Oryctolagus cuniculus: one gene and its partners. The protein of the gene in region 3 interacts with the protein of the main gene of each other region in a pairwise test. Links are inferred from orthologs where the notes say so. Each region holds a gene or a part of one and is shown on either strand. Other genes may lie near its edges.

Region 1 (7,712 bases), on a different chromosome or scaffold from region 3:
GGGGCTAGGAGGTGGGCCAGGCAGGGGGCCGAATGCAGGCTCAGGGACCAGAGGCCACGGCTCATGTGACATCTTCCCCTGCTGGGAGTTTGAAAGAGGCTCCAACCCAGACAAAGGGCCTAGGGCTGGGGAGGGGGGAGGGAGGGTGGCGGGGGGTGCTGGCCGGGAACAGTGGTGATGTGGGGCGGGCCAGCAAGAAGCTGGTGGCTCAGAGGAGGGGTCCTAGCCTGAGGGAGGGGTCAGGAACAGCTCAGACTGGGGCTCCCAGCCCTGAGGCTCAGCCCTGGCCTACATGCCCTGATGGGATACTGACCCAGCCTGAGGCCAACCCCTCCCCTCACGGGCCCTGCAGATTCTTCCCCTGACAGGAGGTCCAGGCTCTAGAACATTCCAATCATCATTTGGCCCCAGGAGAAGCTCCTGCGGCTCCCCCACCCACTGGCCCCTGCCTCAGAGCCCTTGGGCAGGGGCACCCAGCAGGGGAGTCAGAGCCTCAGGCCAGAAGGGCCCTTGGGGAAGGAGAGAGAAAGGTGGGAGAGGTCTCAGGAGGAAAACATAGCAGGAAACTAAGGGCCAATGCAAGGCCCTTCCCATGCTAGGAACCAGAAAGGAAGACGGGGGCTGTGCGGCTGCGGCGGCCACAGCAGGCGGTGGGCGGTGCTCACTGCGGCTGCAGCCTGCACGCATCCAGCCTCAGAGCCAGCCCAGTGCACAGCCCCAACACCAAACAGTGCAGAAAGAAGGCTGCTCTCCGTTAGAGGGCTTGGGGAGAGCAGGAGCCCCGGAGCCAGGTCCAGAAACCAAGTGGCCGGTCTGAGCGCTCCCCACAGCAGCAGGGAGGTCCCCACTGGCTAGGAGGAGGCTGCCTGCCCACACGGTGGTGGGGCCCACACTGCACGTGGCCGGGCTCTGGCCCCAGACCTGTGACAAGAGCACTGCACCCACTCGCTTGCCCAGGCCTCACCTCTTAACCAGGCTGGGAGAACTCCTGGGTTCCGTCAGGAATGTGGGAGCCATTGTCTGCATAGCTCCCCGGCTCTGCTGTCCGGCCAGGGCTCAGCATCTTCCGCACGGCGATGCCCCCTGGCTCACCCGACTCCTCCCATCCTCCCCTTGCATGGAGCACTGCACTTCCAGCTGGGCTCTCACTCACCCTTAAGTCCCGCCCCTTCCAAGTCACCTTGATGTGCCTCCATGTGCCCATCTATAAAATGGAGCAACTCCTGACCCATGTTGAAGCCATTTCTGAAAAAGCTTTGAAAGCTGCAAGTGTTACCCAAATGAGAAGTGATGTTTTTGGAACAAGCAGTGGAGGGCTGTGTGTCTGAGGGTTAGAGGAACTGGCCAAAGCCTGGGCCTAAAAATGTGGTTTGCAATCCGGGCCTTTACCCAGCAGGAGGCTTAGGAACGCAAGAGGCTGCCGTGGTCACCCAAACAGGCTCTGCAGGACAGAGCGTGTGTCCCCGCGAGCCTCTCCAAGGCCTGGGAAAACAACATGCACTCCGGCGCTGGGCGCTCTGTGCTCGCCCTTTTGAGTCCCTGGGGAGGTGCATGCCCCCCCCCCCCCCTTACTCAGAGAGCAGATGTCGCCTGCTCGAGTCACGGGGAACAGGTGGAGCATTGGAGCTGGGGACCCGGGCTCGCCCGGCTTCAGGGCCTGGACAGAGACTTTGCGGGCAGCGAGCTCCACCCTTGGACAGACCCAGTTCTCAGAAACGGCCAGTTCCACAGAGCCAAAACTCGGGAAGAAGGGGCTGTGGGGCGACCCCGAGACACTAGCAGCCGCGTTCAGAGTGAGAAGTGCTGAGCCCATGGCCGCTGGTCACGTCCACGGGTCAGCAACGACCCTGGAGAGGGGGCCCAGCCCTGGCAACGGGCGGGGGGGCCCCAGGCAGAGGTTAAGGCTGACAGCTGTGGCGGGGGGTGGGGGGATGACACACATCTACAGACCGCAGAGCAGAGCCCGGACCTGCACGGCCTGTCCCTGGGGGCCTCGGGGGCCCTTGCAGAAGAGCAAGGTGCGTCTTGGTCAGTGATGAAGGCTGAGGCCTTTCCCGCGTGCTGTGTCAGGGGTCCCTCGGGGCATGCTGGGAGCCGCTGGAGGATCCCCCTTGAGGGCGTCTGGGGCACAGCCTCTAGGCTACCTGGCTTCCAGAACTTCTTGGCTGTCATCCAGGCCTTCCCGCCATCTTCTGAGGCTATGTTACCCTCGGAGTCCTCCTGGTCCATGGGCTCGCCCACCCAGTGCAGCCCATAGTCGCTGAGGAACCGCTGTGGGGAAAGGAGGTGATGCTGGGGACACTGCCAGCTCAGTCCCTTCCCAGGGCACGAGTGGCCTTGGCTCCGTCCCCAGGCTCAGCCCCAGAGCTGACAGAACAAGGGGATGGGCTGAGACCGTGGCTGCTTCCTGGCTGTGACCTTGGAAAGCCTTTTACCTCCTGGAGCCTCAGGAGATCACAGCACCTAGTTCACATCCAGCGCTGAGCAGGAAAGCCGGCCGCTGTGGCTGTGGGCAGCCATGCGGGTCAGCCTGAGCGTGAGGGGCTGGGGACACCCTGGCTCTGAGGACGGGACCAGCCACACGCCGGCCTCCCCAGGGCCTGGCCTCCCTCCCCTCTGCCACAGAACTTCAATCGTCTACACCTCCTGTTGCCAATTCCTTTTCTCCCCTTCTTTCCTCAACCCACAATTCACTGAAGCTGCTCATGGTGCAGCCACCAACCACCTGCCCATTGCCAAACCCAGCGGGCGCACCTCTGTCCTCATCTCTTTCAACAGCGGCTGGGCTTCCTCCCGCCTGGCTGCTCCTTGGCCAGCCCCTGCTGCTTCCCCATTTCCACCCGACAGCGACAGCGACACTGCAGGTCCACAGCACTCCCTTATGACTTTTTTTTTTTTTTTTTTTTTTTTTTTTTAGGATTTATTATGTATTTGACAGGCAGAGAATCTTCCATCTGCTGGCTCACTCCCCAAGTGGCCACAACGGCCAGGACTGGGCTGGGCTAAAGCCAGGAGCCAGGAGCTCCATCTGGGTCACGCATGTGGGTGGCAGGGGCCCCAGTACTTAGGCCAGCTTCCTCTGCCTTCCCAGGAGCATTAGCAGGCAGCTGGCTCAGAAGTGGAGCAGCCAGGGCTTGAACCAGCGCTCCAGTACGGGATGCTGGCACTGCAAGCGGCAGCTTAACCTGCTGCACCACAAAGCAGATCCCAGCCTGAATTCCACACTCCCGTCTCCAACCACATAGACTCTAATGCCTGCCATGCAACTCGCAATCACTGAACAGTCACGGCTCCCGCCCCCATGCCCTGGACCTCCTGGTCCTGTCTCAGTGACGCCCCCTCCACCCAGGCATCATCCAGCACCCGCTCCCCTCTCTGCCACCACACCCGGATGCCCCTCAAGGCCTGTGGCTGCCATCTCCCAAGCAGCCTCAGAACGACCCCTCTTGCCCCATGCGCTGCCTCCCAGCTCAGACCACGGCCACTGTCACGCTCCTGGACAACCAGGAGACGGCTTCTACCTGTGTCCCCGTCGTCACGCAGTAGGAGGGTCCTCCCCTCATGTCGCTCTGACACCCCCAGTGGTCTCCCATTCCCTCCCAGTGGAATCCACGCGCACCACGGGCAGCGAGTCCTGCGTGATGGGGCCACTCCGGCCTCTGGTCTCCTGCTGCCCATGACCAGCAACCGCTATCAGCCAAGTGTACCCGGCAGAAGGGGAGGCTTTCGTGTCTCTGGCCTGGGTCCTCTGCCCCTGGTTGCCCCTCATCCCCCAGATCTCATGGCCAAGGTCACCTCCACAGTGGTTCGTCCCCATCCGTCTCCAGTGTGTCACACACGGGATTATCTTATAGCACTCCCTGTCTCTGTGTCTCTTTCATGTACTTGTTAATGTCTCGTCCCCTCCACGCTGTCAGCCCCTTGAGGGTGGGGACCATGTCTGTCTTGTTCAGATTTCCAACCAGGCACTAGAACAGGCACTGCAGGGTGCTGCCCCCAGCGGGTTCTGCTAAGCACCTGCTTCGTGAGAGCCAGTGATGCCCTCCCACCAGGGGCTCTGGGGTACAGCCTCTCAGCCCCTGCAGCAGAGGCTCGGAGCAGCCTGGGGGGTGGGGGCAGCTGTGTTTACCCACAGCCCCAGGGACCAACAGGCCTGGAGCGACAGGTGCTCCCAGCTGCAGCTGAGGCTCTGGGGTTGGCCTCTGTGGCCCTGGATTCCACTGGGGTTTTAGGAACCCACTCTGTGCTCGGAGAGGAAGGCTGGCTCCTGCCAGGGCAGGGTGGGAATGCCTGGGACGTGTGTGTACCTGGGACACGTCTTTGCTCCTGGCCCCTCCAGTTCAAGCTTTGGAGTCTGAATGGGTGTGTGCGTGGGAGGAAGAAGTCACAGGCAGAGATAGGGGATGGCCTTGATGAGTCTCCGGGGATTGGGATCGGGAGGGAGGTGGCCCGCCCCGGAGTTCACAGTCCACGGCAGAGAAGGGAGGTACTGAGAAAGCACAGGACAGGGCTGGGGCAGGAAGGAAAAACACTGCAGGCCAGGGAACAGCAATGGGCCAGGGTCCCGAGGCGGGACAGACTGGGCGTGTTCAAAGAATCAGCAGGGGCCAGGGAGGCCCTTGGCGTTGAGCCCAGCCGGGAGCCCCGAGGCCAAGGAGGCAAGCGGGGTGTGCTTAGGGCGGTTCAGACTCACAGGGTGAGCCCTGGACACTTGTGGCTCTGTGAACTCGGGGTTAATTCACGGGGCAGGGCCCCCAGGGGGAGGCTTGGTGTGGAGGGGCCCAGAGAAGTAGGTGCTGGCCCCGTCCCAAGGGGCAGACAGCCTGGAGCTGGGGCTGCGGGCTGCGGACTGCTGCGTCCCCGGGCCCGCCCTCACCTCCATCTCCCCGACCTGCCGCTGCAGCTGCGCGCACATCGTCTCCAGCTCCTCCTGCCGCTGCTGGGAGGCCTCGCCTTTGGTGGGGAGATGGGGATGGGGTCTGGCTGTTCCAGCTTCCAGGCCACCTCTGCCCTGAGGGCCATCTGGGGCCCTGAGGAACCACCTGCAGGGGACCCCCTCTATCTCTGCCCTCTCTCCCCGCTCCCCTGAGGGCACCCTGCCTCGCCCCTCAGTGCTGTGGCTCCACCACGCTCTGGGTAGTGCAGCTACCTTCAGGGCACTCTGACTCCAGCTGTCGGCGCCGAGCTCTGGCTCAGCTCTCCAGACCCACCAGGGAGTAGCTTGCTGCTCACCACCTACGCTCCCACCCAGGGGCACAGGGCCAAGGGAGGTCCCGACCGGGGGATCAGCCCCCAGGAGGGCCTCTTACCTTGGTGCTGCTGGAGGGTCTTCACCAAGTCCTCCAGGGCCAGTATCTTCTGATCCTGCAGCAGCGAGGCCTAGGGTGAGCGCAAGGCCCGGCGCTTCCCCAGCCGCCTTCCGGGTAGGAAGATGCAGAGGTTGTGCCTGTGGGGGGGCCCTGGGGAGCACAAAGGTCCTGCCTCTGCCAACACTTGGCACACCCGCTGCTCCTGTGCCGCAGGCCACCCCTGCAGCACTGCTGAGGTGGGGAAAGGCACAGCCCACACCGAGAGCGCCGACTCCACCCAGGCCAAGGTCACCTGGGCCCTGCTCAGCTACGGAGAAGCCCCCAGCCTCTCTGTTCAGTCACTGGGCCCCAGCTGAGCGGGGCCCACACCCGGCCATCACACTGGGCTGCTGAGTGGGGAGACGGTCACCAAACCCCTCTGCCCTGGTCCCACTGCTGGCCCCTGGCTTCCCGGCCTGGGCCTGCCACCTCTCAGCCCAGCCCCTGGCTCTCTCCCACCTGGGGCCTCACCTTGGACAGCATCTCATCAGCCTGGGCCTTCACCAGCCGTTCCAGGTCCCATAGCTGCTTGGCCACGGAGGCCAACGCCTCGGAGTCATGGGATACAGCGCCTGCCAAGTGGACCAAGTCTTTTGAGCCCAGGCTGGGCTCTGGGGGGTCCAGGATGCCCTAACAGCGGCCCACGCTCCCACAACACGTGCTGTTCTGAACTCTATCTGGACCAGCTCACAGATCCTCGCAACACACCTGTGAGGCCAATGAGCTGCTTCAGGAGACTGAGGCACTGAGGCCGTCATGTGACCACGGTGTACAAGCGAGCGGTGACACACGGGCCACCTCACCCCATAGTGTTGCCAGAAAGGCCATCCTCAACCTAATCCAACCCTAACATCCAAGCTCCCGTTTGCAGGCAACAGAACAGCGCGGGGGTCGAGGCAAACCTCAGACGAATGTGCAAGGCGGCACGCGCTGCTGCACGGGTGCCTGGGGGTTTTGAGAAAGTCAGTGTTGGGGCCGGCGCTGTGGTGCAGTGGGTTAAGCTCCTGCCTGCAGCGCCAGCACCCCATGTGGGTGCCAGTTGGAGTCCTGGCTGCTCCACTTTTTTTTCTTTTAAGATTTTATTTATTATTTGAGAGGCAGAGTTACAGAGAGAAAGGTCTCCATCCGCTGGCTCACTCCCCAAATGGCCGCAATGGCTAGAGCTGAGCCAATCCAAAGCGAGGAGCCAGGACCCAGGAGCTTCTTCCAGTCTCCCACGCAGGTGCAGGGGCCCAAGCACTTGGGCCATCCTCCACTGCTTTCCCAGGCCACAGCAGAGAGCTGGATCAGAAGGGGAGCAGCTGGACACAAACCGGCACTCATACTGGATGCCAGCGTTGCAAGTAGAGGCTTAGCCTACTATGCCACAGCGCTGGCCTCTGCTCCACTTCTGATCCAGCGCCTTGCTAATGCACCTGGGAAGGCAGTGGGAGATGGCCCAAGTGTTTGGGTCCCTGCCACCAATGTGGGAGACTCAGATGAAGCTCCTGGCTCCTAGCTTTGTCCTGGCCCTCAGGCCCAGCTGTTGCAGTCATTTTGGGGATGAACTAGTAGATGGAAGATCTGTCTCTCTCTAACTCTGCCTTTCAAACAAACAGAAAAAACTTTTAAAAAGTCAACGTCATTTATATATATAGATTTTTAAAATTAATTAATGTATTTATTTTATTCAAAAGGTGAAGTTACAGAGAAAGAGTGAGAGACAGAGACTAAGAGGTCCTCCATCCACTGGTTCACTCCCCAAACAGCCAAAAAGGCTGGAGCTGGGTGGATCCAAAGCCAGGAGCCAGGAGCTTCTTCCGGGCCTCCCACGTGGGTGTAGGGGCCCAAGCACTTGGGCCATCTTCCACTGCTTTCCCAGGCCTTAGCAGAGAGCTGGATCAGAAGTGGAGCAGCCAGAACTGGAACTGGCACCCGTATGGGATGCTGGCACCGTAGGTAGAGGCTTAACCGACTACACCGCAGTGCCAGCCCTTGTTGATGTCATTTTTTTTACAAAGGCAGAGACCTTTCTCCAGAGCTGTGACAGTCGAATGCATTGCATGACTCAATTAGATCCTAGATTGGGGGGGAGGCCGTAGGCGATGTCGGGTCACCGAGGAGGTCTGAGTACAGGAAGGAGTGACATCAGGGAGCCGTGCTGAATCGTTCACCATCTTAGGTGTGAAAGCAGCGCCGGGACTGTGCCTTTCCTTAGCCTTCGGAGAGGCACAGCAAGGCAGCTGGAGGAGAAGAGTCACGACTGCTGGCCCCTAGTTCCAAAGAGCTCATCCATTTGGAAAGGCGCCATCGACCGCTGAGTGCAGGCGGAGGAACAGGTGGGTGCTCACTGTCCTGTTATCTCAGATTTTCTGCATGCCAGAC
Region 2 (7,712 bases), on a different chromosome or scaffold from region 3:
CTTTCTGCTTAACATTGATCTCTTAAATTGACTTCTGAGCAAAAGAGTCTTATAACCACTTTTTGTGGAATTTTATTGACTTGGGTGTTTATGTTTTTATATGTGATTCTTAAGTGACAGGGTAATATAAATAGGCTCAGCTAAAGTCTTTCATAGCTTTATTCCATTATCACTTCATAAAGATCTTTCACTGCACTGGAGAGTTTTGGGAAAATTAAAGACAATTTAGCTATCATCTTTTGTTTGGAGAAGATACTAATTCAGAAATTGTATTTAAATTGAGCCTTGAATAAGGTTAAGAAAATTTGGCAAAATACAAGATAAAAGAGCAGTATCTTAAAATTTGTTTTGAAAGGGGCTGGTAGGGTGGTGCAGTAGGTTAGGTCATAGCTTGTGACACCGGCATCCTATATTCAAGTACTAGCCAGTTGGAGTCCTGGCCATTCCATTTCTGATCCAGTTTCTTGCTAATATGCCTTAGAAGGCTGCAAAAGGATGGCCCAAGTACTTGGGCCCCTAGCACCCATGTGGGAAACTTCAAGCTAGCCTAGAGTGGCTGTTGCTGCCACTTTTGGAGTAAACCAGTAGGTGAGAAATCTCCCTCTCCCTCTTCTCCTTGTCCCACTCCTGCTCCTGCTCTCAGTCTTTTTCCTCCTTCTCTGTTTCCTACTTTTCAAATAAATAAATAATAAAAAAATTGTCTTGAAAAATCAAAGTGCATCATGCCTATGACTTGTTCTCAAATGTTTCAGAAAAAATTTACGTGATAATGGATAATGAATAAAAAATGTGGTAAGCTGTTAATACTTGGAGAATCTATATTAAGAGTATAAAGGGGGGCTGGTGCCTTGGCTCACTTGGTTAATCCTCTGCCGGCAGCGCCGGCATCCCATGTGGGTTCTGGTCCTGGTTGCTCCTCTTCCAGTCCAGCTCTCTGCTGTGGCCCAGGAGGGCAGTGGAGGATGGCCCAAGTACTTGGACTCCTGCACCCACATGGGAGACCAGGAAGAAGCACCTGGCTCCTGGCTTCGGATCAGCGTATCTCCGGCTGTGGCAGCCATTTTGAGGGTGAACCAATGGAAGGAAGACCTTTCTCTCTGTCTCTCTCTCTCACTGTCTAACTCTATCTGTCAAAAGAAAAAAAAAAGAGTGTATAGGAATTCTTTGTACTGTTTTTTTTTTCAACTTTTCAATAAAACAACTTATTTCAAAATAAAAAAGTAAAAAGAAATGACATCTACCATCAGTTTTTGTTCACTTTTTCGTGGTCTCTGGCTTCCTTAACATGTTTCTGTAGTCATTGAATTCTTTGACATTTGGCACTCATTTCTCCTCTCCATTTCTTGTATTTCTGGATGACTTCAGTGTTTTCAGCAGTGGCACTTCCAGCACCTGATTGCTCCTCTCCAAGTACCTTCACATCAATCTGTTTCATCAACCCATTTCCAGGCAAACTACATCTTACACTTTGTCCTTACCTGATACTTATTGCAGAAAATGGCATTCATTTACAGGAGTGTCTTTCATTTCAATACAAGAGTTATACACTAGGGTTATAGAGATCATGTACATGTAAAATGCCACACATAGTAATGTTCAAATGGAATACTACAGTTTCATACTGACTTCACACACATTCTTTATTTTTCCTAAAGCTGTTCATTCACTGTAACCATTCCTGTTGTTCTTATTCTCTTCTTATTCTCAGAGTCTGTCAGCATTTTTTTTTAAAGAATTATTTTGTTTATTTGAAAGAATTACAGAGAGAGGTAGATCCAGAGAGAGAGAGGTCTTCCATTCCTCTGGTTCACTCCCCAAATGACTGCAACGGCCAGAACTGAGCCCCGAAGCCAAGAGCCAGAGCTTCCTCTAGGTCTCCCATGCAGCTGTAGGGGCCCAAGGACTTAAGCCATCTTCTGCTACTTTCCCAGGCCATAGCAGAGAGCTGGATCCGAAGAGGAGCAGCCAGGACAGAAACCAGCACCCATATGGGATGCTAGCGCTGCAGGCTGGGGCTTTAACCCACTGCGACTCAGCGCTGGCCCCATCACCATTTTGTTTACTTCACTTAACTCTAACCCTTTGGAAGTTTTATTACTTTGCATATTCCCTTTCTCTGTGGAAGCAAAAAATGTGAACATCTGACTATGTGTGGCATTTTACATGTACGTGATCTCTATAACCCTAGTATAGTCCTTACTGCATTATATTCAAGTCATTGAATCAGTTTGCAGTAATCACTGTACTGTTGAGTCCTTAAGGGGAATATCTGTTGCTTGCTTATCTTTGTTTCCCTAGTACCTATCACAGGATAAATCACACTGTAGGTTTTCCATGAGTTATCATTAAAATATTGAATAAATTTGATAGAAGAGTTAAACTTTTGATACGAAATAATTAAATATTGGTAGAGGATAATGTAGTATTACTGAGAAGGACTGCATTGAGAACCTTCAGAAGATTTTATTTTGTTTTATTTTATTTTTATTTTTATTTTTATTTGAAAGGTAGAGTTATAGACAAAGAGAAAGGTCTTCATTCTGTTGGTTTACTCCCCAAATGGCTGCCATGGCCGGCGCTGTGCCAATCATAAGCCAAGAGCCAGGTTCCTCTTCCTGGTCTCCCACGTGGATGCAGAGACCCAAGCACTTAGGCCATCCTCCACTGCCCTCCTGGGCCACAGCAGAGAGCTGGACAGGAAGAGGAGCAACCTGGATTAGAACCCGGCGCCCATATGGGATGCTGGTGCCACTGGTGGAGGATTAACCAAGTGAGCCACAGTACTGGCCCAAGAAGATTTTAACTCTAATTTGCTAAAATTATACTTGTCAAAATAGTTTTTTTAAAAAAAGTCAGGAAAATTTTATGAATCAGCCTTTTTTAATATAAGGTGAAATTATATTCTCAGTAGAGAATATGCAGAATGTGATTTATAAAAGTCTTTAAATGTCTGATGAACAGTTCAGAATAAAGCCCTAAAAGATTTTTCTACTGATGGCTGGTGTTGTGGCACAATGGGTGAATGTGTTGCTTGGATGCCTGTATCTAGTATCAGAGTGCTTCATGTGAGGCCATGCTACTCTAGCTTTTCATTCGGCACTCTGCTCATGCATTTGGAAGGCAGTGCATGATGGTGCATGTATTTGGGTCCCTGCTACCCCTGTCAGAGACTTGGATGGAGATCTTGGCTCCTGGTTTCAGCAATGCCTAGTTTTGGCTATTACAGGTATTTGGGGAATGAGTTAGCAAAAGGAGGATCTTCTGTTTCTCTGTCTCTCTCTCTTGTTTCACTCTTGTCACTCTGCCTTATAAATAACAAATAATTATTTTAAAAAAAGCTTTTACTGATGAATAAAATTAGAGATACCCAAAGACAGAGCCTAATCACACAGTACAGGTTCTTTAAAAATACTTTAAAATTAAGAGTTTAAAATTTTAGAATTTGCTTTTTGAAAAGTTCAAGGGCCGTCCCTGTGGTCCAGTGGACTAAAGCCCCAGCCTGAAGTGCTGGCATTCCATGTGAGCCCCAGCTGTTCCGCTTCCTATCCAGCTCACTGCTATGGCCTGGAAAAGCAGTGGAGGATGGCCCAACTCCCTGGGCCCCTGCACCCACATAGGAGACCCAGAGGAGGCTTCTGGCTCCTGGCTTCGGATTATCTCAGCTCTGGCCATTGCGGTCGTTTGGGGAGTGAACTAGCAGAATGGAGGACCTCTCTCTCTCTCTCTCTCTGTCTCTCTCTGGCTCTACCTCTCTCTAACTCTTTCAAATAAAAAAATTAAAATAAAATAATTCTTTAAAAAAAACTTCAAGATTATTTCTGCTAGAAATAATGAAATGATAATTGCAATCACCATTTGTGCTGTTGATCTAATGTACTAGTAAAAAAGTTATGTGTGCATGTATGATTTTTCTCCCAGAAACCATACTATGCTTTGAAATGTGCACTACTCCTTTGAAACAGATTATATTTACTAGTGGTAACTTAAAAATAAGTTGTGTGATATATCCAGATATTATTCTCTAATTTGAGAGTACTTCACCAATGATGTGTAAATAAAAGTATGAGGAGCTTTTTTCCTTGGCACAATTTTTTTTATATCCATGCATGATTTTTTCAGAATTTGTATTTTCTGTGTATTGTGGAAAAACTTTTGCATGAAAATGAGCTCATACTTTTAATTCCATTTTTCATGAATTTTTTGCAGTATACTCGTGCATGGTACATACCTGATAAAATGAGGGTTAGAAATAATTATTATATTCTATACATTTTCATGTTGTGATGCTTAGAAAAATAGCAGCTAATGTTTATTAATGTGTCAGGTCCTAGACCAAGTACTTCGCATGTATTAGTTGAGTCCTCACAACAACTCAGTGAAATAGATGACGTTATAGTTCCCTTTTATGAACAAGAAACTGAAGCATGGAAAGGTTAAGTAACCAGCCCAAAGCTATGCATTTGGTAGAGCTGAAGTTCTAACCCACGCAGTCATAACCACCATTCCATGTACATTATCATTTTCCTATGACCCTTAACTTACTGTATCTAGAAAACAGTACATCTCTCAACCAGTGGTTTTCAATCTTAAATGTATACTGAAATCATCTATAGTGAGCTTAAAATATAAAGATTGGGTCCTAATCCCAGAGATTCTGATTTTATTAAAATAGGGTGTGGTATGGGTTTAAGATATTTTTGACTCCTTACATTATTCCAATGTGCAACATTGTCAGTTACAATCATAAGTGTCTATTGACTTTGGAAATAGGAATATTGATGGCAACAACCACTCTGTACATGCTTATCCAATTATAGTAGGAGTAAGATTGGTAAGTGTATATTTAAAGTTTTAGGACTATTCAGAAAAAACTATTCATTACTATTCATTTGTATTTAATAAGCAGCTATGGTGTCTCATATATCATGTTATGTTTGTTTAAATACAGATATAGCCCACATTTATCCTGAGCAAGAAACTGCAGGGAGAAATAAAAGTGCACAGTCAGATGAGCAACTGACTATGAATTCCAAGGGAAGCATGCATCAGAAATCCAATGAATTCATAAATGAAGTCCCATACGAGGACACGAAACTGCTAGGGCAGAGTTCAAGGAATTTTCAGATCATCAGTCCTTATCCAGATGATGCGACAGCTTACTGCACTACTGAAAAATGCAAGTGAGTGCTAGCAGCCTGAGATTTAGAAACAGAATTGGGAGAACTTTCTCTTCCTCCCTACCTCCTTCCCTTCCTTTCTTTCTCTGTTTCTTTCTGGTGTGGATTAAATTTGACATGTCATTAACTGACTAGAAGTTGGGATCTTTCCTAGCACTATTTCCATAATAATGATATACTGTGCCTAGTTAGCTAAGTGAAAAAGCACAAGGTGAGTATGAAGGAAAGTGATGAGATTTTATACTTTGTTCAGTATTTCTTTGATATTACATTATAGATGTAGAAATGACTGTTCAGTTAATATAAAAGTATTGTTGCTCAGGAGAGAAAAGCTAGCAGCTCCAGGATAAATTAAACCCCAAAATGTGTTTTGGTTTGGGTTACTACTGTTTTTCATTTAAGTGAATTTTAATACTTTTAGAAGAGTCTTGTTCTCTACCATATGCATTTCCTTATTACTTTACATTCTGTATTTTTTCCATTCACCTTGCCTACCTATCTCATGAAGGGATTTGGACTTTGTGATTAATGTACTTTGATAGCCATGGGCTATGAAAATATTATGTTTTTAAATTTCAGTGATTAATTTTCATTCTAGACAAAATATTTTCTGGAATAATTTCTGACAGTTTTGCATATAAACTGCTATTTCTATGTGCTTATAGATTATTTAGTAGATGTATTAATGAATACTAATATAATGCTATAATATTTTGGTTTGTTCCTCTCCCTCAGCAATCAGTTAGATTCTTGCTGCTCCTCTGCACGCGGAGGAGCCGCACCGGACCGGACGCTTGTTGTTCCCTTTTTTTTACAAGTCCTTTCTATAGTAAAGTAAGAATAAGTAAACAGCAAACTCCCAAAGCAAGAATGAGTAGAGAGAAATGAGAAAGAACGAAGTAACGAACTTCCCCGCGAACTCTCCAACGCACTCTCCAACCAACCCACACCACCATGCCGTCTCTCTCCTCCTATATAGTCCTCTCCACCAATCCGTGCTCTGCTACCCACACGCCGAGCGCGCCACTCTCCTCCAATCAGGAGCGGCTCTTGCAGCTTGTCAAGTTGGTGAGAGGCAGCTGGGTAGAAGCTGTATGCTCCTCTCCCACCGCCACATTGTGGGAGAGCAGATGCATAGAATAAGTCTTAATTCCAGTAACAGTATAGTCCGAGTTGCTCCCCACAGATTTTTACAGAGGTTCAGATTGGAGTACATTTGTGGTGGGGGAGAGGGCAGATAAAGGTAGAGATAAGTGAAAAAGAGATAAACATCTTTATAACCACATGGGGAAAATAAATAGTAGAACTTGGGCTAAACCTGAATTATGAGACTTATAATATGTTGACAACATGGAATATATAAGGTGAGTAGAGTTGTACTAATTGTCAGAGACCTCAATGCTTTCAAAAAATAGCCTATGTCTTTTCCCTTCCTTTCCTTATTAACACTTCCTTACAAGGTGATATTATTCTCAATAGATAAAACGTAAAAAAATTTTGTTTTAACTTACCCTTAAATATTACATGAATAGCTTTTCATTTTTAATGTTTTTGATTTAAAAATGAAAATATATTCTTTCAAAAAATTCTTTAAAATTATCTGATTATTACTCCCATTTTTAGAAAAGTGAGTAATGTATCTAGAACCCCAAACAACAGTATAAAACCTGAATTGTTTCTATAAGATTTACCTATTTATTATGAAAGAGTTATAGAAAGAGGAAGAGACAGAGAAATACTTTCTATCTCCTGGTTCCCTCCCCAAGTGGCTGCAACACCAGGCCTGGGCCAGGCTAAGTCAGGAGCATCTTCTGAATTTCCACCCGTGGGTGGACAAGCCCAGGTACTTGGACCATCTTCTGCTACATTCTCAGGCAATTAGTAGGGAGCTGGTTCAGAAGTGGGAAAGCCAGGTCTCCAACTGGTACCCATATGGAATGCTGGTGTCACAGGTGGTGGCTTTCCCTGCTGAGTCACAACGGTGGCTTCTAATGCCTGAATACTTTAAGTATACTTAACCATGAATCTGTCAGACATCACTAAATACTTTCTTTAAATTTAACTCTCTCAGTTGATAAATTGGCATTTTTCTGTGAAATTGATATATTTATTCTCTTTAATCAATCATATTTTCTCCATAGTACATATAAAGAGAAATTTAAGATCTGATATCTTTTCATATTTGTTGTTAAAATTAAATGTTGCTATTTGAAATATAAAATTTATAGATATTGTACAGTAGAAATCCTATGTATATATTGTTCATTTTTTTATTACAGCATTACAGAACACAAAAATGATGACTTGCATTATGGATATATGATTCCTTGTCAAGTTACTTCAGATGTAAATAAAGAAAAGACAATAGCATTTCTTCTCAAAGAATTGGATATTCTCAGAACAAGCAATAAAAAGGTATAATATAGAAAGTCTGATAGTTATACAGTATACTTTGAGCTGTTGACCTTCTAAATTTTCTTTGTTGCCTGTCATAATTCAGTTTTGTTGGGTCTTGCAATCAACAGCAGCTTTCTG
Region 3 (6,290 bases):
AATTGGTGGTCGCCCCACCTGCCCTCGGCTGGAACTACAAGCCCCAGAAGGCCTTGCGCCAGGGTCACTGCCCCTGACCTCAGGGACGGAAGCCATTCGTTGCCTGGCAACAGCAACTCCCTTCGCGGTGCTGCAGCTGGCGGCAAAACTGCTAGAGTGAGCCGGGCTCGGGGGTTACCGGGAAGAGGCCGCGAACCCCGAAGGGACGTGGGTTAGCGGCGGGGCGGGAGACGAAGGGGGCCGGGAATGGGGGGCACTGCCATGGTCTGGGTCTAGGTGGAGGGAGGAGGCGCAGGGCTGGGGAAGGGAGTCCCGGGCGGGAGGTGCACAGCCTGGCAGGCCTCGGTGCACCGTTGCAGGGCGTCGAGGACAGCATGTGCGAGGGCCCGTCCCGCATCTCGGGGCCCATCCCCCCAGACCCCACGCTCTGCCCAGACTACTACCGGCGGCCGGCCTCAGGTGAGTCGGGGGTGCTGCGGAGGGGGCAAGGCCCGGGATCGCCTGCCGCTCCACCGCTGAGCTCCGCACTCGGCCCTGTCCCGCCCCTCAGCCCAGGGCCGCCTCGAAGGAAACGCGCTGAAGCCGGACGCCACCCCACCCCGCGGGCCCCGCATCAGGCCCGGAGGCCGAGAGATCTTGGAGCGTGGCTGGCGAGGCGTAGGGGGCGTGCTGCTGCAGCTCGAGGGCATCTCCCTCAGTCCGCGGGTCTCGCCCAAGAGTAAGTCCGGCAGAAGGGGCAGTGAGGCAGTTGGAAATCAAAAGCGGCTGTCCCTTCCCTGACCTGGGCCCAGGCTTTGCCTCTCTTGAGCGTCAGTTTCCCGCGGGAGGGAACCTCATTAATTCATGCATCAAAACGTGTTTCCTGTGTGGCAGGCCTTGTGGGTGCCAGGAAAGCAGGGTCGTAGGCAAGGTGGGAGGCAGTAAGTGAAGACATGAGGCGATCCAGGGTATTTACTGAAAAAATACAGAAAATAACGAGGGGAGATTTACATGCAGGCAGGGGAGCGAGGGGAGGTCTGGTGTGTAGACAGCGTCTGGCAGACACAGAAACCGGGAGATCTTTCTGGAGAGGGCGGGCAGGGAGCTGGTCAGGGCAGAGCCTGGGAGCACCTTTCCCCCAGGGAAGGACCCTAAAGACCATGAGAAGGAGAACCTGAGGCGGATCAAGGAGATCCAGAGACGCTTCCGGGAGCAGGGCCACGGCCGGGAGCAGGGCCAGCCCCAGCCGCTGAAGGCTCTGTGGCGCTCACCCAAGTATGACAAGGTGGAGTCTCGAGTCAAGGCCCAGCTGCAGGTACCCGCCCCAAGGAGCCGAACCCTGGCCTGCACTGTGGGGAGGGAGGCACCTGATGCTGTCATGGCGTGGGGCTGGGGTCACTTCTCAGAAGTGGTCATGGCTATGCTGGTCATGAATGGCAAGTAGGGATTGGGCAAGGGGAGAGTAGTATAGAATATTCCAGAAAGAGGGCGGGCGTGTGGCCTAGTGGTGCAAACGCTGGTTCGGAAGCCTGTATTCCACATCAGGGTGGGTGCTGGGTTCCGTCCCCAGCTGCGGCTCTTTGACCCCAGGGAGGCAGTGGTGAAGGCTGCTCCACCTGAGGGACGTGGGTCGCACTCCTGGTGCCCAGCCTCAGTCATTACAGGCACCTGGGGAGTGAACCAGGCAATGGGAGCTCCGTCTCTCTGCCTCAGGAAAGGAAAAGAAAAAAAAAGCAAAGTGTAATTAAAAGAAAAAAAAATAAAGAACATGCCACAGAGATGGAACCTCACAGGCGGGAGTCCGGAGACCAGCGGGAGCAGGCAGTGAAGGTGCCAGGTTCTCTGCTAGCAGTGTGGCTCCCACTGGGAGAGGGGAAAAGCATGAGGTTAGGCCAGGAAGTCAGCCGGAGCTACGTCATAAAGGACCCCCAAGCCGCTTCCCTTTTTTTCTCCCTCCTCCCCTCCCTTGCTCTCTTTCTCCACTTCTTCCTTCCTCCTCCTTTCCGAGAACCAGAGCGCTCCCATGTGCTGGGTCACTCTCCGAATGCCCACAGTGGCCAGGCCAGGAGCCATCACCACTGCCTCCCAGTGTCTGCATTAGCAGGAAGCTGGGGTCAGCAGCCAGAGCTGGGGATGGAACCTAGGCACTCTGATGTGGAACATGGGGTCTTAACTGTCTAAGCCACTTTCTGGAAAAATTGGATTTATTTGACAGAGAATGCTAGATCCTCCATCCATTGGTTCACTCCACAAATGCCTGCAACAGCTGAGGCTGGGCCAGGCTGAAGCCAGGAAACCAGAACTGAATCCCATATGGGTGGCAGGGACTCAAGTACTTGACCATCACCTGCTACACACACACACATACACAAACATACACACACACAACCCCACACACACCCCAGGATGTATATTAGCAGGAACCTGGAATGAAAAGTGGAGCCCAGACTGGAACCCAGGCACTCTGATAGGGGATGCAGGCATCCTAAGCAATGCCCTTTTTTAATGATTATGGTATTTTCAAAAATGACTGCTTATTTTCATTTACTTGAAAGGCAGATTGAGATATAGAGACAGAAACAAAGGGAGCTTCCATCCTGTGGCTGGGACTGGGCCAGGCAGAAGCCAGGAACCTGGAACTCCATCTGGGTTTCCCTAGTAGAAGGCAGGGTCCCAAGCCCTTGAGCCATCATCTGCTGGCTCTCAGGGTGCAACAGCAGGGAGCTGGACTGGAAGTGAGCAACCAGGACTTCAGCTGGCAGTCTGATATGGGATGCCGACATCTCAAGCGGCAGCTTAACCCACTACACCACCATGGCCACCCCACAGGCAGGGTCTTCACTGCTGTGCCAAATGCCCACCCCGAAGACACTTTTCAAACGCTTACTTTGAGGACAGTGGAAGGGTAGGGCAGGGGTATCATGGTAGGATTTGGTCTTGCGTATATAGCGGCACCATTTTTCTACCCAAGATCTCAGAAGGATGAGCAAGTTTGAGAAAAAAAGACAAGGTCACCCGTGGATGGTCTGAGGCTGGAGCATTTGTGGGATTGCCAGGGGGTGGGATTGTGTCCAGGTAGCAGATGGACACTCAGGTCTGGATCTCAGAGTGAGACCCAAGCGTTATTGACCATCAGGCTGAGCACAAGGAAACCAAAGAAATGACCTTCTGGATTCCAGGGCCTGGAGGCCAGTCGTCCGTGACCTTGGAGGGACTACAGCCAGGAGGCACAGCTAGGAAGGAGAGCAGAGAGTGGTAGCTGGACCAGGACTGAGGTAGAAGAAAGGTGATGATGAGGAGCAGTGCCCCTTCAAGAGGGAACAGGCTTGCAGGGACGGGGAGAGAGAAGTCCCGAGTGGCAGGGACAGGGCATGCTCCTGTGGCTGGAGACCCTGACCTCAGTCTCGCTGCTCCCTCTGCTGCACCCCGCCCCCAGGAGCCTGGCCCTGCCTCTGGGACAGAGCCTGTCAACTTCCTACGGGCGCACTCCCGCTGCGGCCCTGGCCTCCCACCAACTCGTGTCCCCAGTCCCCAGCTAAGCCCACAAGGTCCCAAAACTAAGGTGAGATGATATGTAGGGGCCGGGAGGTGGTTGGACAGGGGAGGGGAGGTGGGTGCAGGGGCCCAGCAGTGCCGTCAGCCACCATCACCCTTGCTATGTCCTACAGGGGCCAGGCCTGGGTGTGGACTTCATTAGTCACAATGCACAAGCCGCCAAGAAGGCCCCCCGGCGCTATTCCCGCTCGCTGCAGGTCCTGGCACAGGTGCTGGAGCAGCAGCAGCAAGCCCAGGAGCGCTACAATGCCACACAGAAAGGCCACGTGCCCCAATAGTAGGTCCCACTAGCCGAGCCTCAGGGTAAAGGGTGCCTGTGGCGGGTGGAAGCCAGCTCCTGCCCTGGGGTCTTCAACCCTGAGCCTGTTCGTCCACAGCTTGTTGGAGCGCAGGGATCTGTGGCGGCGGGAGGCTGAGGCCCGCAGGCTTGGCCAGCCAGATCCCAGCATGCCCCCTGGGCACACACTCATGCCTGAGAGCCAGCGGCTGGAGACGTTGGACAGTCTGCTCCAGAGTAAGTACCAGGCGAGGAGGGGCTGGGCAGGGAACCCACAAGGGACCACGCGCCCCTGTCCAGCACTCACGCCTCTGCCCCCTGTAGGCCAGAGCCAGCTGCTGCGGGAGCTAATACTGCTGCCCGCTGGGGCAGACTCACTGAAGGCCCAGGGCCACCGTGCAGAGCTGGACCGGAAGCTCGTGCAGGTAGAGGAAGCCATCAAGATCTTTTCCCAGCCCAAAGTCTTCGTGAAGATGGATGCCTGAGCCTGTGTGGGGGTCGTGGCGAGGAGGTTCCTGCTACAGATCGCAACATGGCTGCGCAGTGCAGGGTTGGGCCCCGTTACAGGGCGGTGGGGTCGGCAGTATCTCCGGAGCACTCTTCCCAGCCACCAGTGACTACGGAAGGGCTATCCCAGCCTTGGGCCCCTTTGACAAAATTAAACTTTTTGTACGTGGTAGAGTTTCCATAAGAGCTTTTCTTACCCTGGAAATGCCAAGCCCGGCGACTCTCTGCCTGAGGACAGGACAGGTCTCCCTGCGGCCCTCATCCTGCCTCATGTTTGGAGCAGAAGCAAGTTGTGAGGTTGAGGAGGAGGCTGGGGTGGGACACAGAAGGACCATGACTGCATTCGTAGAAAACATTTAATGTTCCCCAGGCCGAGAGGGCCCTGTGAACAAGCTAGCCGCCCCCACCTTGAAGTCCCTGCCATGTCCCAGCAGCCTTGAGTGCCAAGGGGCTGATCCTTGCCTGTCAGAGGCTGAAGCCACTGCCATCTCCTCGTGTGCCGCTCCCCCAGCCAGAGCCGGCCTGCTCCCGGTCATCCAGGGAGAGCAGAGAGTTGTGGGCACCAGGAAGGAGGCAGCTGGGGTCCAAGTCCCAGCATGGGGGCCCCTGAGACAGCCCATTGGAACAGGGAGGCTGGCGGTTCTCAGTGACCAGGTCGCCGCTGTCATCGTCACTGTCTGGCTCAGCAGGCCCAGGCCGCACAGGGGAAGGCCCTGTCAGACGCCCAGAGGCCCCTCGCACCACGTTGTTGCGCTGGTTGGCAGGCTTGACAGTGACAATGAGGTTGTGGCTGTTGGCAACCATCATGTCCGTCACTTGGTCCAAGGTCTTCCCAGCCACCTCAATGCCATTGACCTCGAGGATCTCATCGCTGACCGCCAGCAGCCCTGTACTCTCAGCCAGGCCCCCACGTACCAGGCGTGAGATGAAGATGCCCGGAACCCGCTCCAGGCCCTGGGGTGCCACACGCATGCTCATGCCATCTCTGATGTAGAAGCCCAGGGGCCGGTTGGAGCCGTGCTTGTGCAGCCGCACCCGCCGGTGCGTCTCAGGCAGTAGGTCCACATCTATGACTGAGGAGACCTGGCGGAAGTCTCGGGGCAGGCTGATTAGCAGGGGAGGCCGGGTGCGCAGGGGTGCCGCGGGCCGCAGCAGGAGCCCTTTCTTGCGCCGCTGCAGAGAGTTGGAGGCAAAAGCTAGGCCAGTGGAGTCAGCTTCTGCTACAGGAGAGAGGGGGGTGCCGAGATCAGAGACCCTGCCCTCCCACATGGGCGCCTCACAGAGGGAACAGTAGCTATTTCCTACCACTTGGAGGTCAGGCCAAGGGCAGGGACTGCAGAGGGTGAAGCCTGGGCACCCTGACTCGGGACTAACCCTTACAGACCTGCTGTCAGCGTAACCCAGAGGCTGCCCACGGTACCCCATCTTCCTCACCCCGCTTCTGCACCAGCAGGCGCAGTGGCGGGGGCCCACTGGCCAGGGCCCGGTGCAGGCTGTCGTCGTTGGTGAGGGGGAGCAGGTCACCGTGAGCATCCGTGTAGCCAAGCAGCACGTCCAGCCCCGGGATCTGGTGCACTGCACGCAGCAACCGCGAGAACTCCTGGAAGCCGCTCACGGAAGCGCGGGGCAGCGCGAAGCGTCGGAACTCGGCATCAAACTGAAGAGCGGGGGTGGGGAGAGAGGAGGGATCAGGACGGAGCCCGCGCCCCCTTCTCACCACAGGTCAGGCTGGCAAGGATGAGAAAGAGAGGGCTGTCGCCTGACGTCCCGATCTCGGCTCCACTTGGAGGGACGCTGTCCAAGGTCTTTTCTCCCCCTCTCGCCAGGTACCCAGGCCACAGAGGGGCTCCGGAGCCCGGCAGTGGGAGGAAGGGGGGTGGATGGGGAAAGGAGAGCAAAACGGCAGAAGGGGCACAGAGGATGAAGGAGAGGAAGAGGTGATGGAGACCAAGGAGCCGGGAAGGGGAGAGAG

What was found. The genes of interacting proteins can lie anywhere in the genome.
Region 1: the proteins of ENKD1 (region 3) and UBXN11 interact in binary tests that used the Homo sapiens proteins (3 or more experiments, as listed by UniProt). The two-hybrid records come from large-scale screens. The link is inferred for Oryctolagus cuniculus from reciprocal best matches to the Homo sapiens genes ENKD1 and UBXN11.
Region 2: the proteins of ENKD1 (region 3) and MIPOL1 interact in binary tests that used the Homo sapiens proteins (3 or more experiments, as listed by UniProt). The two-hybrid records come from large-scale screens. The link is inferred for Oryctolagus cuniculus from reciprocal best matches to the Homo sapiens genes ENKD1 and MIPOL1.

What each region holds. Positions count from the first base shown.
Region 1 is NC_091438.1:145,179,881-145,187,592, reverse strand, and holds part of UBXN11 (UBX domain-containing protein 11), read right to left. Parts: intron 7,454-7,712; exon of another isoform or gene 7,388-7,453; coding exon of another isoform or gene 7,357-7,387; intron 5,921-7,356; coding exon 5,820-5,920; intron 5,417-5,819; coding exon of another isoform or gene 5,365-5,416; coding exon 5,310-5,364; intron 4,954-5,309; coding exon 4,877-4,953; intron 2,272-4,876; coding exon 2,145-2,271; intron 1-2,144. UniProt on the Homo sapiens protein: May be involved in the reorganization of actin cytoskeleton mediated by RND1, RND2 and RND3. Promotes RHOA activation mediated by GNA12 and GNA13.
Region 2 is NC_091443.1:38,298,228-38,305,939, reverse strand, and holds part of MIPOL1 (mirror-image polydactyly gene 1 protein), read left to right. Parts: intron 1-4,948; coding exon 4,949-5,180; intron 5,181-5,237; exon of another isoform or gene 5,238-6,527; coding exon of another isoform or gene 6,528-6,541; intron 6,542-7,456; coding exon 7,457-7,592; intron 7,593-7,712.
Region 3 is NC_091449.1:50,904,097-50,910,386, reverse strand, and holds ENKD1 (enkurin domain-containing protein 1), read left to right. Parts: upstream 1-110; 5' UTR 111-211; intron 212-359; 5' UTR 360-374; coding exon 375-459; intron 460-550; coding exon 551-718; intron 719-1,121; coding exon 1,122-1,294; intron 1,295-3,415; coding exon 3,416-3,541; intron 3,542-3,647; coding exon 3,648-3,811; intron 3,812-3,911; coding exon 3,912-4,048; intron 4,049-4,135; coding exon 4,136-4,296; 3' UTR 4,297-4,488; downstream 4,489-6,290. Other genes in the region: PARD6A (partitioning defective 6 homolog alpha), read right to left, coding at 4,784-5,538, 5,753-5,975. UniProt on the Homo sapiens protein: Microtubule-binding protein which regulates microtubule organization and stability. Promotes the stability of astral microtubules and facilitates the proper orientation of the mitotic spindle.